4 linked regions of the Saccharomyces cerevisiae S288C genome follow. The protein of the gene in region 2 interacts with the protein of the main gene of each other region in a biochemical or structural test. Each region holds a gene or a part of one and is shown on either strand. Other genes may lie near its edges. The genes, in order: MOT3, TUP1, DAL80 and RDR1.

Region 1 (3,668 bases), on a different chromosome or scaffold from region 2:
GCGTATATGGTAGATGGTTTGGATATATCAACATAATCTTGTGTATTGCACTCGGGATAGCGAATCTGTTCCACGTTAGTGGGGTGATAGCTTTTGGTATCATTAGTATAATCCAAGGGTTAGTGATCCTATTCATTGAAATACCATTTTTGTTGAAAATCTGTCCCCTTAGCGATAATTTCATTGAATTCATCAAGAGATTTGAAACAAATGGATGGAGATGTCTTTTCTATCTAGCAATGGCGATAATCCAGTATATTTCCATTGCAGTGATGGCTACGAGTCTAATTGTGGTAGCTGTCGGGCTAACGATATCGTCAATCAGTTATGCGGTAGCATATACTAAACACCAAGAGTTCCAGAATACGAACATTATCAAAAATCCTACAGATGACGATTTCCCTCACGAGGCCGTTGTTAGAGAGATGTTGTAATCAGTTCCGTACCATACATAAACTATATGTATATAATGTATATATGCATAATTACTTTCTAAATTTGTGATTATTACTATTATCTTGATTGTTAAATGAGTGGGAAGGGATATTTTGTGTGTCTATAAAGTCTATCTATTTGTTGTGACTAACAATAAGGTTATTCAAAACACGTTTAACGTCGTCCTTATTCAGTACACCATCATTGATTAAAGTCTTGATGTTTGTATCGTAACCGTTTCCATCTTCATTTTCGGGAGCTGTTGCTGCTGCCGCCGCGGCACCGGCACCGCCACTGCCGCTAGCGCTATTGCTGTTATTATTATTATTATTGTCGTTGTTATTATTAGAGGAGGAAGAATTGTTGTAGTTAAAGATGATGTTGTTTTTCTTGAGTTCGTCTAATAAATAATTTGTATGCTTGAGTTTCATATGCTGTAAAAGATTATCTTTTCTCTTCTGCCTGCTTAAGCACCAAGGGCATAGAAAATGTCTTTGTTGCGAGTGTGACAATAGGTGCCTTTTCAACCATGATTTTCTTTTGAAAGACTTCTCACAAAATTGGCATTGATGGATATATTTATGGTCTGATGATGGGGCAGGAACCAAGTTCGAGGCCACAGGGTTCGAAGAAGGCACCGGCGCAGGGGGATGGTTAGGTGCTGTCGTAGGACGTGGTTGCGGCATAGTGTTTATTTTCCAACCAGGAGGTAGATGCAGAGGTTGTGCCGGGTTAATATTGAGATTCAAATTTGGAGAAGGGTTTTGTTGTAGTTGGAATTGAAATTGATCCGTTATTATCGTTGGATGGTGCTGAGGAGCGTTGTTTGTATTTACAGCACCACCATTGTTGAGGTTGTTGTGTGTATTACTATGATGGTGATGGTGATGGGGTGGACCGGGGGCCGGGGCTGGGGCTGAGTGAGAAGAGTTGTTGCTGCCATTGTTAGCGGCGTTATTACCATTGTTATTGCTGTTAACTGCTGAATAGTAATGGCTTATGTATGAAGCAGGATTGAACATATATTGTTGATCCTGTTGCGGTATTGGCATATTCGCAGTGGGGAAGGAGTAATAAGCAGCCGCTGCAGCATTTGAGTTCATATTTGCGGCCGCAGTAAACTGGTTTGGGTGAATATTATTGTTATTATTGTTGTTATTATTATTATTATTGTTATTATTGCTAGTACTGTTGTTTGCGACAGTGTAATCAGAAGCAGAAATATTGCTGTTGTTGCTGTTGTTGCTGTTGTTATGGACAATCGGCGACGCAGACATATTGTTACCAGCCGTCACATTATTGTTGTTACTGTTATTACTTGTATACTGATAGTAAGGGTATATATACTGCTGCTGATGTAAGGGCATTGGAAGTTCTCTTGCCCCAGAGTTCACCATAACGTCGTCCTTGTTAGAGGAAACAGTAGTCGTGTTGAAAGGCTGTGACGCCAGCGAATCGCTGCCGATATTGTTAGTGTTCGACACATTTTGTAATATCGTGTGCTGCTGCTGTTGATGCTGATGCTGATGCTGTTGTTGTTGATGCTGTTGTTGTTGATGCTGTTGTCGCTGTTGCTGCTGCTGTTGCAGGTGATGGTCCGCATTCATTGCTCAAATATGATATGTCCCTTTACTATTTGCCTACTGTTGCCTATTAGTTTTCCTTCTGTTAAATCTTTTCTTGTACCTGTTCCTTCTTGAGGAATTGTTTTGTTCAAGTTTTCTTCCAAAAAAAATTCCTTTTTTTTCTTTTTTTTTTTGATTGCTACAAGGCCTTAATTCCTATTATTTGTTTCTATTTTTTCTCTCTTTTTTCGTAATTCTTCTTTAACTTTACATCAAAAGAGAGACAAAGTTTAGTAAATCCAGACGGAGTAGTAGTATAAATACTATCCAGCGCAGATCATGACAGGATGATGCGCCTTGGTAGGATAAAAAAAAACAACAGCGGAGGCTACAGCACATCTTTTGAGGAAAAAAAAGAAGAAAATCAAGAAGAAAAACGAAAAAACCGGCAATAAACACCGTTATCGCCACTACTCCTTGCCGTGCGCAGTTATCGGAAGGCGCCGAAGGCGGAGAGCAGGGAGCGTTGTTCGGGTCTCCTCAGTCGGAGTCAAGGATTCGAGTCGCGCCGCCGCGTACGTAGTTTTACTTTTAATTTTTTTTTTATCGCGCGTTGTCCCTGTCGGCTTTCACGGCATGTGAAGGCAATATACGTAATAAAGCGGATCGCAGGGCACGACTACACGTCCCCCACCATGTCGCGTGTGACGAATTGTGGGTGATGCTGGTGCGGGTGATCCCGGAGCGCGGTAGAACCCAAGCGCCTCATATAGTCGCCGGGCCCGAGTGTTATCACTGAATACGGTGAGTGCTACACCGAAGAAATTGTCGCACATGCGGCGGGTGTGTCGAGCTACGCCATCGCACAGTGCATGCTCCAGTAGCCGCCGACCGATTCCATGCCCGCGGTGCGCGCTAGCTACATGTACTTCGTAAAGGTATATCACGGGCACGCTAACCTCGTGTAAAGCGTCACCTTCGACGAGACCCGTCTCCTCTGTAAGCATGAATGAAGTAAATGCACCTAGCACGCCGTTGTCCCAGTAACAGACATACACAAGGCCGGCGCTTTTCATCTCTGCGAGTTTGTTTGCCTTCCATGGTTTCCTGTTGCCGTACATAATGCGCGAGGCCCGGCGATACTTGGCGCCCAGGTGCTTGTCTATCAATTGCACACAGGCGTCCAGCACTTGGTCGCCGCGAGATTTGTGCAGCTTGTAGTTTATACACTTGAGGCTGTCAACGCTGTCAATACTGTCAGTGTCATCTTCGGGGATGTAGATAATCTCCCTTTCTAAAATAGCGGTGGTGAAGTTACCGTTTCCATCTGTATCCTTGTGCTCGATGGATTCAGGAAATTTTTCCACGCATAAGTTTAAGAAATGTTGGAACATTGGCGCCATGGCGACCCTCCTTCTTTCTGTTAGGTGCTCCTTCGATGTTCGTATACAGTTGTAAGTGTTCTCACTATATACCGAAGAACGCATCTCAGTGGAAAGAAAAAGAAAAAAGAAAAAGAGCTAAGAAAAAAATCTTTTAATGGCGCGCGCGCACCGCGCATACATATGTGGAAAAAAGGATGCATATAAAAAAAAATACGTAGTAGTCTTCTCAATCTTCTGCACGCGTGTTATTGCTATTTCTTAATTTTGAGATGGGTATGTTCAG
Region 2 (4,692 bases):
CCAGATGTAAGATTTGTCAAGTGCGACGTGGACGAATCACCAGATATTGCCAAAGAGTGTGAAGTGACGGCTATGCCCACCTTTGTTCTTGGCAAGGATGGCCAACTCATCGGCAAGATCATTGGAGCTAACCCTACTGCTTTAGAGAAGGGAATCAAAGATCTATAAATTTTATATTCATGAGCACATGTAGTTTTTTTTTTTTTAGTTTTAAATATAAGAAAAAAGATAGTATATATATATATATATATACATATACATATAAAAGGAAAGTAAGCTTATACAATACACAAATAAATTCATATCAAAGAATAATGAACCGCAATATTCAGAAACACAGGAAAAGGAGGGGAAGGGATGAATGGTGAGGAAAGTAACTGTTTGTTTTAAAGCGTACCTGGATCATAACATAACAAATAAGTAGATAAAAAAGAATAGAGAGAAAGATATAATGACAATGAATTGAAGAATAGTTTAGTTAGTTACATTTGTAAAGTGTTCCTTTTGTGTTCTGTTCTTAATTTGGCGCTATTTTTTTATACTTCCAAATCCTTGCTTTACAATCACCGCTACCAGTAGCAAAAACGTTATATTCTGGACCCAGCGGAGACCCGTTTGCCACAGCCACAGATATAACTGAATTCCTATGACCTTGCAACATCAATAACGGATTGCCGGATTTCTTATCCCAAAACAGGACACCACGATCTTTGGAACCGGACAAGATGTACTCATCATTTTGTGTGGTGGCCACGGACAATACAAAGTCTTTATGCCCGATATACGTAACTTCACAAGTGCCGGAATTTGGAGTTTTCGAATCGCTCTTGTTGTTTGCATTCTGCAAATTCCAGAGCTTAACAGATCTATCTAATGAGCCGGATACAACGCTTTGTCCATCTCTAGTGAAGACAACGCTATAAACAGAGTCCTTGTGGCCTGTACCGGATTCGTTTTCCGAATCTAGTCTTTCCACCAAGAATCCGGTCTCGGAATCCCAAACTCTCACAGCACGATCTAGAGAACCAGCAGCGATGTATTTACCATCACCTGGTGATACAGCGACGGTGGTAACACCATCTTCAATGGATAAAGTCAATGAACACTGGCCTGTACGTAAGTCCCAAATACGAACGGTACGGTCACCAGAACCGGAGACTAATTTGTCACCTGAGGGAAAGTAGTCCAATGAATAAATATCTTGTTCGTGGCCTTGAAGAATCATAACAATCTTTCTATTTTCAATATCCCAAATTCTAATCAGTCTGTCTTCAGCACCTGTTGCCAAAAATTTCCCATCTGGAGAAAAACACACTGAACGGATATACAAGTCGGATGATGGGGAAGACGAAGTGTTCAGGTTTTCCACATCTTTTGCCAATTCTGCTGCCGAAGTCATCGCTGTGGTAGTAATTGTGGTGGTAGTAGTGGTTGTCATTGTATTGTTATCCGTGGACGTGGTGGTGTTATTTTCAGTGATCGAATTTCGATGGTTATTGGCAGCAGAATCGTCAGATAGACGGGCCACCAGAGAACCATCTGAAACGCGATACACTTGAGTAGTTTTGTTGCAGCCTGTGGCTAAGTATTCACCATCGTTACTGAACTTCACGCAACAAACAACTGAAGTATGATCCAAAGATTTGTGTAACTCAACGTCAATTTCTCTTGGTAGTGCCGGGTTGTATAAAATATAATAATCATTTGTTTGCTTCTTCAGAGCATCGGGAACAGACTGGGAATCTAGATCCAAAAGGAAAGGTGGGATAGGTTTAGAGTGGTTTGCTCTTTGATTATAAGGGACTAAGTAGTGATCCTGGTGCAAACTAGCCGGGGTGGCGTCTTCCTCCTTAGGTTTGATTTCAGTTTCAGTTGCGGTGGTAGTGGTGGCCGTGGTGGCGGATCCGGTGTCATTTATCTTCGAGGTATTATTATTTTCCGGTTCAGTTTCTTTCAACGTAGATTCAGGTGCCTTGACAGAGGGTAAAGTAGTGGTCTCTTTAGAAGTAGGAGATCCGTTGATGGCTGTGTTACTCAATGGTGCCACGGAAACCTGGGGAGGTGGTTGCTGTTGTTGAAGTTGCTGCTGTTGCAGTTGCTGTTGTGGTAGTTGTTGTTGGGCGTTTGAGGACACCACAGGCAAAGTGGTGGTAGGCAACTGTGAGCCAACCAGATTAGGACGGCTAGCTTGTACTGGGAAGGCCGATGGCGAACCAGTAGTTGTGTTTGCTGCTGGAGTGGCGGTGGCCGAAGTAGTAGCCGGTGGTTGTTGCGCAACTGGAACAGATGCAGATGCAGCGGCTAGCTGCTGCTGTTGCTGTTGTAAATGCTGCTGGACCTGTTGCTGCTGTTGCTGTTGCCGCTGTTGCTGGACGGTCAAAGATGCAATTTGATGGTCTCTTTGCTCCAGCCCTAGTTTCAAGTGCTTGATCTCTTCTTCGTACGCGTCCTTCATTTTCCTGTGAGTTAGTTCCAGTTCGTAGACGGTGTTTCTTATCTGCTGCATCTCAGCCAGCTGCTGGTTCATTTTGAAATCGTAATCCTTTTGGTTTTGAAGACGGTAGGTATTTGCCTCTTGTGAGACTTGGAGAAACTCCTGTCTGATGGCATCGAGAAGCTCATTCAGCTTATTCTGCGTATTCGAAACGCTGGCAGTCATATTGGTTTGGATGGAAAGCTGATTTCTTTCTTCCCCTGCTTATCAAAAAAGACAAAAAAACAATAGAAAAAGAGTAGTGGTGTGCGAAAGGTAACTTGGCGTGAAAGAAAATTAAACAATTGCAGAAGGACAGATAGAGGGGCACGTGTTCAGCCAGTTGTTCTTGCTTCGCTGATGTTTATCAATTGGGGGTAGATGGGGGAATTTCTCTCTATTTGTTTACTTATGTACTTGTTATTTTGTTTTGTTGTTTGTTGCTTTGACGGGAGAGCTTTTTAATTTTTTCGCAGTTTTTCAGTGTTTTTTGAAAAGTACGAAAAATTAAGGTCCGTCGGTAGCGATAATGTAAGAGGGTTCTGTCTCTAAAAATGTTAGGGTGAAAGTTCCAAAAAATTATTAACTCCTAGATTGCTCAGCCAAAAAGAAGGGTAAATTAGGGCTTTCCTGGTTTATTTATTTGTTTATGTTGTTCTTATATACATATGTTTATGTCTTTTTATGTACAAATAATGATGTTTACAATGAAACATCTGTTATGCTATCAAAAACGTCAGCGCATTGTTTTATAGCTGAAGAAGTTACAACGGATAACGGTCTGATTTGCGGCCTGGCAATGCTTGGTAAAACTAAATATCAATTTTACGAATTATTTACTGTATATAGTATTCAGTCCCTCACTCAACTGGCGTCAAGAGTGAAGAAGGGCGGCCTCATTATGGCTCGCCTTATTCTGTTCACCCTCTGCGCTCTTCCCGTATTATTTCATTTTATTTTGTTTATGCTTCAATATCTTGTATTTGTTTACATTGAAAAATGATTGGAAAAAGGTCACATTGAAATCAAAACAGTGAAGAAGCAGACAGACAAGAAGGTCATTAGATAGATAAACAGGAACAATAAAAAAAAGAAAGCGAAACAAGACAATCCAACGTGCGCAAAATGGATCCATTGACTGTATACAAAAACTCAGTGAAACAACAGATCGATTCCGCAGACTTACTAGTGGCAAATTTGGTAAATGAGAATTTCGTACTGTCGGAGAAGCTGGATACAAAAGCAACCGAGATCAAACAGCTGCAGAAGCAGATAGACTCGCTAAACGCACAAGTCAAGGAGCTGAAGACTCAGACTTCCCAACAGGCAGAAAATTCAGAAGTCATAAAGGACCTTTACGAGTACCTCTGTAACGTACGTGTACATAAAAGCTACGAGGATGATTCTGGGTTGTGGTTCGACATCTCGCAGGGCACCCACTCAGGGGGATCTTCCGATGATTATTCGATAATGGACTATAAACTCGGATTTGTCAAGGGCCAGGCCCAAGTCACAGAAGTCATATATGCGCCCGTTCTTAAACAGCGATCCACCGAGGAACTATACTCGCTACAGTCGAAACTACCGGAATACCTCTTCGAAACGTTGAGTTTCCCCCTCTCGTCGCTAAACCAATTCTATAACAAAATCGCTAAAAGCCTGAATAAGAAAAGAGAGAAAAAAGATGAAACCGAGTAAGCTGCTACATAATGTCTATATATCTACACATAAAATTCCGATTATTCCTTTGCATACCTGATTTGCCCCTCAGAATCCACAACCAGACTTTTCAAGAAGGTCTTTTTTGCCCCTTTATCCTTCATGGTTTTCAAAATTTTGTACAACGACTTGCCCTTGTGAAGCTCGATACCGTTCGAGGTCTTTTCCACTTTCTCTGCCTTCTTGATCACAGGCTTCTCCACTTTCTTTGCAGGAGTTGCCACTGGCTGGTGCTGGTGCTGCTTCTGCTGCTGCTTCTGCTGCTGCTTCTGCTTCTGCTTCTTGTTGCCCTTGTACAACGCTTTCTGGTACTTCTCGTCCTCGCTGATGCAAGACGTGTGATTCTTGTAACTCACGCCATCTTCAAACGTCTTGGAGCAATCTATGCATGTATAGTACGCGTTAGGACATCTATAATAATGCTTTTCGGTATTCTTCTTGGGCACAGTATCATTACACACCTCACAGTTGAACGTAACCATCCTGTAATAACAAATATT
Region 3 (3,153 bases), on a different chromosome or scaffold from region 2:
ATCGTCAGGTTCGTCAATTAAGTCTTGTAAATGTTTCATTTTGACGTTATCTATATTAAACTCAGATATTTCAGAAGATGATAAAGTTTCTAACGATGTAATGTTGCTGCCATTATCGTTATTGTTATTTTCCGATGTATGAGGAGCTGAGGCTGCAGAGGATGGTTTATTTTCTGCTTTTTTCTCCATTACATTTCTTTCTTTAACCATTTCTTTATAATGGGGGAAATGCGGAAGTTGTAACGAATGATATCTGTTGTTATCACTATAAAGCTTGCTTATAGTGAGTTGTTGGAACGCGACGATTTTCAATTTGTGATGTAGTGATTTGATATCTTTATAACTTCTTATAATAGACCATTTGAGCCTGTCTTCATCAATCCCATATTCCAAGTGTATTCTAAATAAAGAGTTTTCGTTCCTGCTATACATAAATTCCGCCACATTCGAAGAAATGCTTATAATGCTGGAGCTCCTTGGAATAGAGGGTCTCCTATCAGAATTCTCGCCAGTATTGTTGTTGTTGTTACCACGATGGTTATGGTTGCTATTGGTAATATCCAAAATGTTGTTGTCATTTTTCAAGGGAGACACTCTTACATCTAGTTTAGCTAATAGCAGAGGAGCCCTTCTCTTCCCATGTTCGTCTCTCAGAAATTGCGTGCTTGCGAACAATGAGGCCGGGCATCCTGCCAATAACGAATCTAATAAATCAGAGGCTAGTCTTTGTGTGTACAAATCTTCTTCGTTTACTTGTTGATGCTGGTGCTGGTTATGACGATGGCCGCTTCCAGCCGGTGTAGGAGAATTTACGCTGGATTTCAGTCTACCAATAGCAGAGATTTTCTTAAAAGCGTGGCCAAACTCTTTCTTCCAGCCATTGAACTGCTGTTGGGTGTAAGCTACAGAAGAAGAACGCCTTTGAGGGGCTCTTTCTTCCTCTCTTTTAGAATTCCGCTTAGAATGAACATTATTGTTACTGCTATGGAGATTGTTGTAGAGCCGGTGCATATTTTCCTCATCAGAACCTCGACGAGGATCATGTTCATTAGAGTGCATAATATGGTCTAATGAGTGGTTCGGTGACACATCACTCAGGTTTCTATCTACAAAGGATTTGGGCAATGCATGCTTCCTCTCCGCCTCCTTGCCGTTGGGAGTTCTTCGTTTTTCTCTTTGTAAACTGCTAGTCAGATTGCCATTCTCAGGTAATTGCCGCAATACTTCTTGGTTTTCTAACTCATCTGGTCTCGAATTTACTCTATCTACTTCTTCAGTCACCGATCTATCTGCCTGAGGTGGAGCGAAGTGAGTTCCAGACGCTGTTGACACGTTAGACATCACCCTTGTTTATCTATCCTACCTTTTCTTCTTGCGTACGTGCCTCTCAATGCGTCGTGTGAATTATCAGTGACCGGTCGTGCCTATAATGTCCTGCTAATTTCCCACTAAATCTTTCCCCATGGCGTATTCATCGTTATGTTTGTGTCTTTTGTTCAACCCAAAGGGCTGTAGCAATCTTCACCCGTTTGTCGTTGATAACGAGTTTCCACCTTATCACTTATCACTAGTGCTAATCAAACAGCAAAGAATGCTTGATAGAAACCGATCCTGGGCTTATCTCGCTGCATTGTGGCGGCATCCCTGGACTGTAATCAGCAAGTGTTGCTTAGTATATATATACATCCAGCGTCAGCTTGAATTTGGATACAGTTACTGTTTTTTCGATTTTCTCTTGGTTATTCTTTCTGAGACAGTAGTAATTTTGTATTACTGAGCGGGATATTGTTTATCTGCCGTCATACTATATTACATTATATTATATCATATTATATATAAGAGAATGGTGCTTAGTGATTCGTTGAAGCTGCCCTCGCCTACACTTTCAGCTGCTGCTGGAGTGGATGATTGTGACGGAGAGGACCACCCCACGTGCCAGAATTGTTTCACTGTCAAAACGCCCCTATGGAGAAGAGATGAACACGGTACTGTTCTCTGTAATGCATGTGGCCTCTTCCTGAAGTTGCACGGGGAACCAAGGCCTATCAGCTTGAAGACGGACACCATTAAGTCAAGAAATAGGAAAAAGCTGAATAACAACAATGTGAACACTAATGCCAATACCCATTCTAACGACCCAAATAAAATATTCAAGAGAAAGAAGAGACTGCTTACAACTGGTGGTGGTTCATTACCTACGAATAATCCGAAGGTTTCTATTCTGGAAAAGTTTATGGTGAGCGGGTCCATTAAGCCACTGTTAAAACCAAAGGAAACCGTTCCCAACACAAAGGAGTGCTCCACGCAGCGGGGAAAATTTTCTTTGGACCCCTGCGAACCTAGTGGGAAAAACTACCTCTATCAGATCAACGGTTCAGATATATACACGTCAAATATAGAGCTGACAAGGCTGCCTAATTTGTCAACATTATTAGAACCCTCACCTTTTTCAGATTCCGCTGTACCAGAAATAGAACTAACTTGGAAGCTACATAATGAGGAGGAGGTAATCAAATTGAAGACCAAGATAAGCGAATTGGAGTTGGTGACAGACCTATACAAAAAGCACATATTCCAACTGAACGAAAAATGCAAGCAACTGGAAGTGGAACTACACTCCAGAGCTTCAGTACAATCTCACCCACAACATTAAGAAAGGATGTAGCGTTCATGACAGTATAAATATAACAGGATATAGTATATAAAATTTAATATGATTTAGTGACACTTATTTTTACGCGAACGGGTAACACACTGCCATTTATCTGGTGCTGGAAAATTGCCCCTAAAGAAATGATAAGAATGAAAACGAATCAATGTGAAAGCAGTTTGATGAGATGTGAGCTACTTTGAAAGTATAGGAAGTCAGACATCGCACTGAGAAATGTCACGTAATTCTGCAGCAGGTTTGGAAAACACTCTTTTCCAACTAAAGTTTACATCAAAACAATTACAAAAGCAAGCCAATAAAGCCTCAAAGGAAGAAAAACAGGAAACTAATAAGCTCAAACGTGCTCTTAATGAAAATGAAGATATATCTCGTATATATGCATCCAATGCTATAAGAAAGAAAAATGAAAGATTACAACTGTTGAAGTTGGCATCACGGGTGGATTCGGTCGCATCAAGGGTACAAACCGCCGTCACGATGAG
Region 4 (3,783 bases), on a different chromosome or scaffold from region 2:
CATCGGTAACAGTTTTGGAACAACGAATGCTGGACAACTTAGTTGGTTTGCTTCCGCATATTCGCTAACTGTTGGTACATTCATTTTAATTGCTGGAAGACTCGGAGATATCTTCGGACACAAGAAATTCTTTGTCCTTGGCTTCTTTTGGTACGCACTTTGGTCCTTACTTGCTGGGTTTAGCGTCTACTCTAATCAGATTTTTTTTGACTGCTGTCGTGCATTTCAAGGCATGGGTCCGGCCTTTTTGTTGCCAAATGCCATTGCGATTCTCGGACGCACATATAAGCCAGGAAGAAGAAAAAACATGGTCTTTAGTCTGTTTGGTGCTTCAGCACCTGGTGGCTTCTTCCTTGGGGCTGTTTTCTCATCCATGTTGGGTCAACTGGCGTGGTGGCCATGGGCTTACTGGATAATGGGTATTGCATGCTTTGTTTTAGCTGTAGCAGGTTACTTTGTAATCCCTCACACCCCCATGCCAAGCCGCGATGCCTCATCTTTCAAGTTGTTGGAACGAATCGATTTTGCAGGGTCAGTTACCGGCGTTGTTGGATTAATTCTCTTTAATTTCGCTTGGAACCAAGGCCCCGTTGTGGGTTGGCAAACTCCATACACATACGCTCTTTTGATAGTTGGTACCTTTTTCTTGGTTATTTTTGCATATATCGAGTCCCGAGCAGCTTTCCCTCTGCTACCATTTGCTGCTCTTTCTAGTGATACTGCTTTTGTACTTAGCTGCATAGCTGCGGGATGGGCCAGCTTTGGTATTTGGATATTCTATACATGGCAGTTCATGGAAGACTCAAGGGGCCAAACCCCCCTTCTTTCTAGTGCACAGTTTTCACCTGTAGCAATCAGTGGATTTTGTGCAGCCGTGACGACAGGTTTCCTTCTAAGCCATACACCCCCAAGCACAGTTATGCTTTTTGCGATGACAGCTTTCACAGTCGGAACTATATTGATTGCTACGGCCCCCGTTCACCAAACGTATTGGGCTCAAACGTTTGTGTCAATCATTGTTATGCCTTGGGGAATGGACATGTCCTTTCCGGCCGCTACAATAATGCTTAGTGACTCGATGCCACACGAACATCAAGGTCTTGCAGCCTCTTTGGTTAATACGGTGGTAAACTATTCGATATCGATAGGTTTGGGTATTGCAGGTACAATTGAATCTAGAGTAAATGACGGAGGTGCCAAGCCTTTGAAAGGATATCGTTGTTCGTGGTACATGGGCATCGGGTTGAGCGGACTTGGCATTTTTGTCGCAGCAACGTATGCATGGAGCACTTTTATGAAGTCTAAAAAAAGGATCTCCGAAAAGCAGCATTTTATAGAATAAGTTCATATATAGAGAAATACTTCATCGTGGTATATAACCCAAACTAATAGAAATAAATATAGTACGATCAAAGTGATAGAGAGGAGCCAGTATATCCCGTATCGTGCGATAAATATGAAAATTACAAGAGGCCATTCTCGAGTGAAAAGATACATTATTTTTTCAAGTAGAAACCTGAAAGAACTTCAGTAAGATAACTTAGCGCACACTTTCCTACTTTAAGCTCACCAAATGGCATCCCCAGGATCGACAGCATTACCACACAAGCGACAAAGAGTCCGAAAGGCTTGCGTGCCCTGTAGGGAACGTAAAAGGAAATGTAATGGCAAATCTCCATGTGAAATGTGCGTTGCCTATGGATATGTATGTCATTATATTGACGGTCGTGTCCCTTCGGCATCACCTCAAGTGCAACAAGTAGGTGAAACATCTCCTGATACGGAGAGCAGACCTTTTGTTCTTCCGGGTATACATAGAAACGAACAACCGCAGCCTATAAATACACAGAACGTTACAAGTCAAAACATTGTAGATCCAACTAAGTCTAGGTACACGATCCAGCACTCTGCAGTTGCTTTCCCCCGCTGTCTTGGTCTCGAACTCCGATCAACTAATCCTCCACGCCTACATTCCTTCGCTTGGCATTGCGGAATCAGACCGGAAGAAAATCCAAACTCACATGTCCTTCTTTCTGATTTAGTTACAAAGGAAGAGTATTACCGTATCTCAAAAGTTTATTTTTCAGTTGTTCACCCGATATTTGATGTTGTTAATCCAGAGCAACTGGCAAAGAATGTTGAAAAATACTGGGATGGCGACGTAAAAACCTTAGAGTATGGGGCTGTTATTGCAGGGGTGATAGCTTTAGGATCATTTTTTATGGGAAGTCTTGGCCATCCCCGAGAGATGGATATAGTACAATATGCCAAAGGGATCCTTGATGACCCGACTTTCAGTCGCATTCCCACGGTGGAGCAAGTCTCCGCATGGGTTTTGCGCACCATTTACCTGCGAGCCACTTCGAGGCCCCATGTAGCATGGTTAGCTAGCTGCGTAACCATCCATCTTTCTGAGGCAATTGGCCTGCATCATGAGATTGACAGAGAGGATATAGCGATATCGAACAACGTTCCACCAAAAAGAACTACTGTAGTGAGCGAACACACTAGAAGATTATTTTGGTGTGCATGGTCAATCAATACCATTCTTTCATATGACTATGGGCGCTCAAGTGTTACGCTGAATAGAATTACTTGCAAGCCAGTTAAGGAGACGGACGGTAATTTTACAGCTCATTTAGTCGCGTTAGCACACCTGATTCCCCAAGACAGCGTGAACGCAAACGCAGCGCAATTGTTGCAGGCCCTGGCGGCCGTTCATGAATCACCAAACGCACATCCGTTTTTGTCGTTGACCAAGGGTGATATATGCCTCTCTTTGTATAGAAGACTTCGTTTGCTGAATCATATTCTTGATAAAAATGTTGTTTTACAAATAATTGATATCGGCAACACTGCGCTATCAGCAGCATACGCTCTTGTAAAACTGGATCAAGCATGGTGGAATGTGTTGAGCACCTCATTCCAGTACGTCTGTGTCCTTCTTGCCATCGACACACCGGAAAGTCTTTCACATGTTGCTACTGCCATGAAAACGTTAGATAATATTACTCAAATTCTCGGTACACGTATTGCTTTTGAAGCACAAAAGACCGCAAAACTGCTTCTTGAGGATTCCATGAAAAAAAAAAGACAAGAAATTCAGCAGCTTGAGCAGGCAACTCACCAGAGATCTAATCTTGAAACTACTCACCTACTCGATATTGACTGGGATGCTTTGCTAGATCCATCAGACACGTTAAACTTTATGTAAAAGAGTATTATAGATTATGTGTATCGAGAAGCAAATTGATTTATAATTAGAGGGAATGGAATTGATGTTTAATACCTGCTTACTATATTTTATCTTTGATAATTGCGCAGAAAGTAATATATCCGGTATTTGAAAATAGGAAATTTAAAGAAATCCCGTCACGCCTGGAATGAGGGGTGAAACCTTGACTGATATTATATTCTTTTCTTGGACATAGTGTCTGAACCAAATGCAAATTGCACTGCATTGCACCAAATTGATGGTTCAAGTTCGATCTATAAAAATACGAGAGAAGGTCTGACTGTTTATGTCAATACTCAAGAGGCTCAGGAACAGTGTTAAAGCTTGGAAGTTCAATTCATTAAAGAAAAGTTGATAACGTCAGGTGGAAAACCGAAAGATAAAAATAAAAGCAAGTCAAGATTTGAAGTATTGCTGAGCGAAATTTTGTTTGAGTGGTCCGGAAATTTTTATACACTTTATTAGTATTTGGTTTAGTGTAGGTGGGAAAGCTTAGAACGTATGTAGAAAAACATCCCTGAAGAGTTCTCTAGATCTTATCATCAGCA

Evidence for each region.
Region 1: the proteins of TUP1 (region 2) and MOT3 form a complex in vitro, tested with the Saccharomyces cerevisiae proteins (one study listed by BioGRID).
Region 3: the proteins of TUP1 (region 2) and DAL80 form a complex in vitro, tested with the Saccharomyces cerevisiae proteins (one study listed by BioGRID).
Region 4: the proteins of TUP1 (region 2) and RDR1 form a complex in vitro, tested with the Saccharomyces cerevisiae proteins (one study listed by BioGRID).

The regions. Positions count from the first base shown.
Region 1 is NC_001145.3:407,528-411,195, reverse strand, and holds MOT3 (Mot3p), read right to left. Parts: upstream 2,043-3,668; coding exon 570-2,042; downstream 1-569. Other genes in the region: TVP18 (Tvp18p), read left to right, coding at 1-434; NAT4 (N-terminal L-serine N(alpha)-acetyltransferase NatD), read right to left, coding at 2,630-3,487; AVO2 (Avo2p), read right to left, coding at 3,612-3,668. UniProt on the Saccharomyces cerevisiae protein: Transcription factor that affects the expression of a large set of genes. Recognizes and binds to the consensus sequence 5'-[CAT]AGG[TC]A-3' in the promoter region. Plays a major role in the repression of a specific subset of hypoxic genes (e.g.
Region 2 is NC_001135.5:259,794-264,485, forward strand, and holds TUP1 (chromatin-silencing transcriptional regulator TUP1), read right to left. Parts: upstream 2,660-4,692; coding exon 518-2,659; downstream 1-517. Other genes in the region: TRX3 (Trx3p), read left to right, coding at 1-168; YCR085W (uncharacterized protein), read left to right, coding at 3,123-3,476; CSM1 (Csm1p), read left to right, coding at 3,599-4,171; YCR087C-A (uncharacterized protein), read right to left, coding at 4,213-4,674. UniProt on the Saccharomyces cerevisiae protein: Acts as a component of the CYC8-TUP1 corepressor complex which is involved in the repression of many genes in a wide variety of physiological processes including heme-regulated and catabolite repressed genes.
Region 3 is NC_001143.9:505,055-508,207, forward strand, and holds DAL80 (Dal80p), read left to right. Parts: upstream 1-1,843; coding exon 1,844-2,653; downstream 2,654-3,153. Other genes in the region: SPO14 (phospholipase D), read right to left, coding at 1-1,341; YKR032W (uncharacterized protein), read left to right, coding at 1,463-1,777; DID2 (Did2p), read left to right, coding at 2,885-3,153. UniProt on the Saccharomyces cerevisiae protein: Negative regulator of multiple nitrogen catabolic genes including the allantoin pathway genes.
Region 4 is NC_001147.6:1,049,717-1,053,499, forward strand, and holds RDR1 (Rdr1p), read left to right. Parts: upstream 1-1,573; coding exon 1,574-3,214; downstream 3,215-3,783. Other genes in the region: AMF1 (Amf1p), read left to right, coding at 1-1,342. UniProt on the Saccharomyces cerevisiae protein: Transcriptional repressor of multidrug resistance genes, such as PDR5. Required for growth on non-fermentable carbon sources like lactate or glycerol.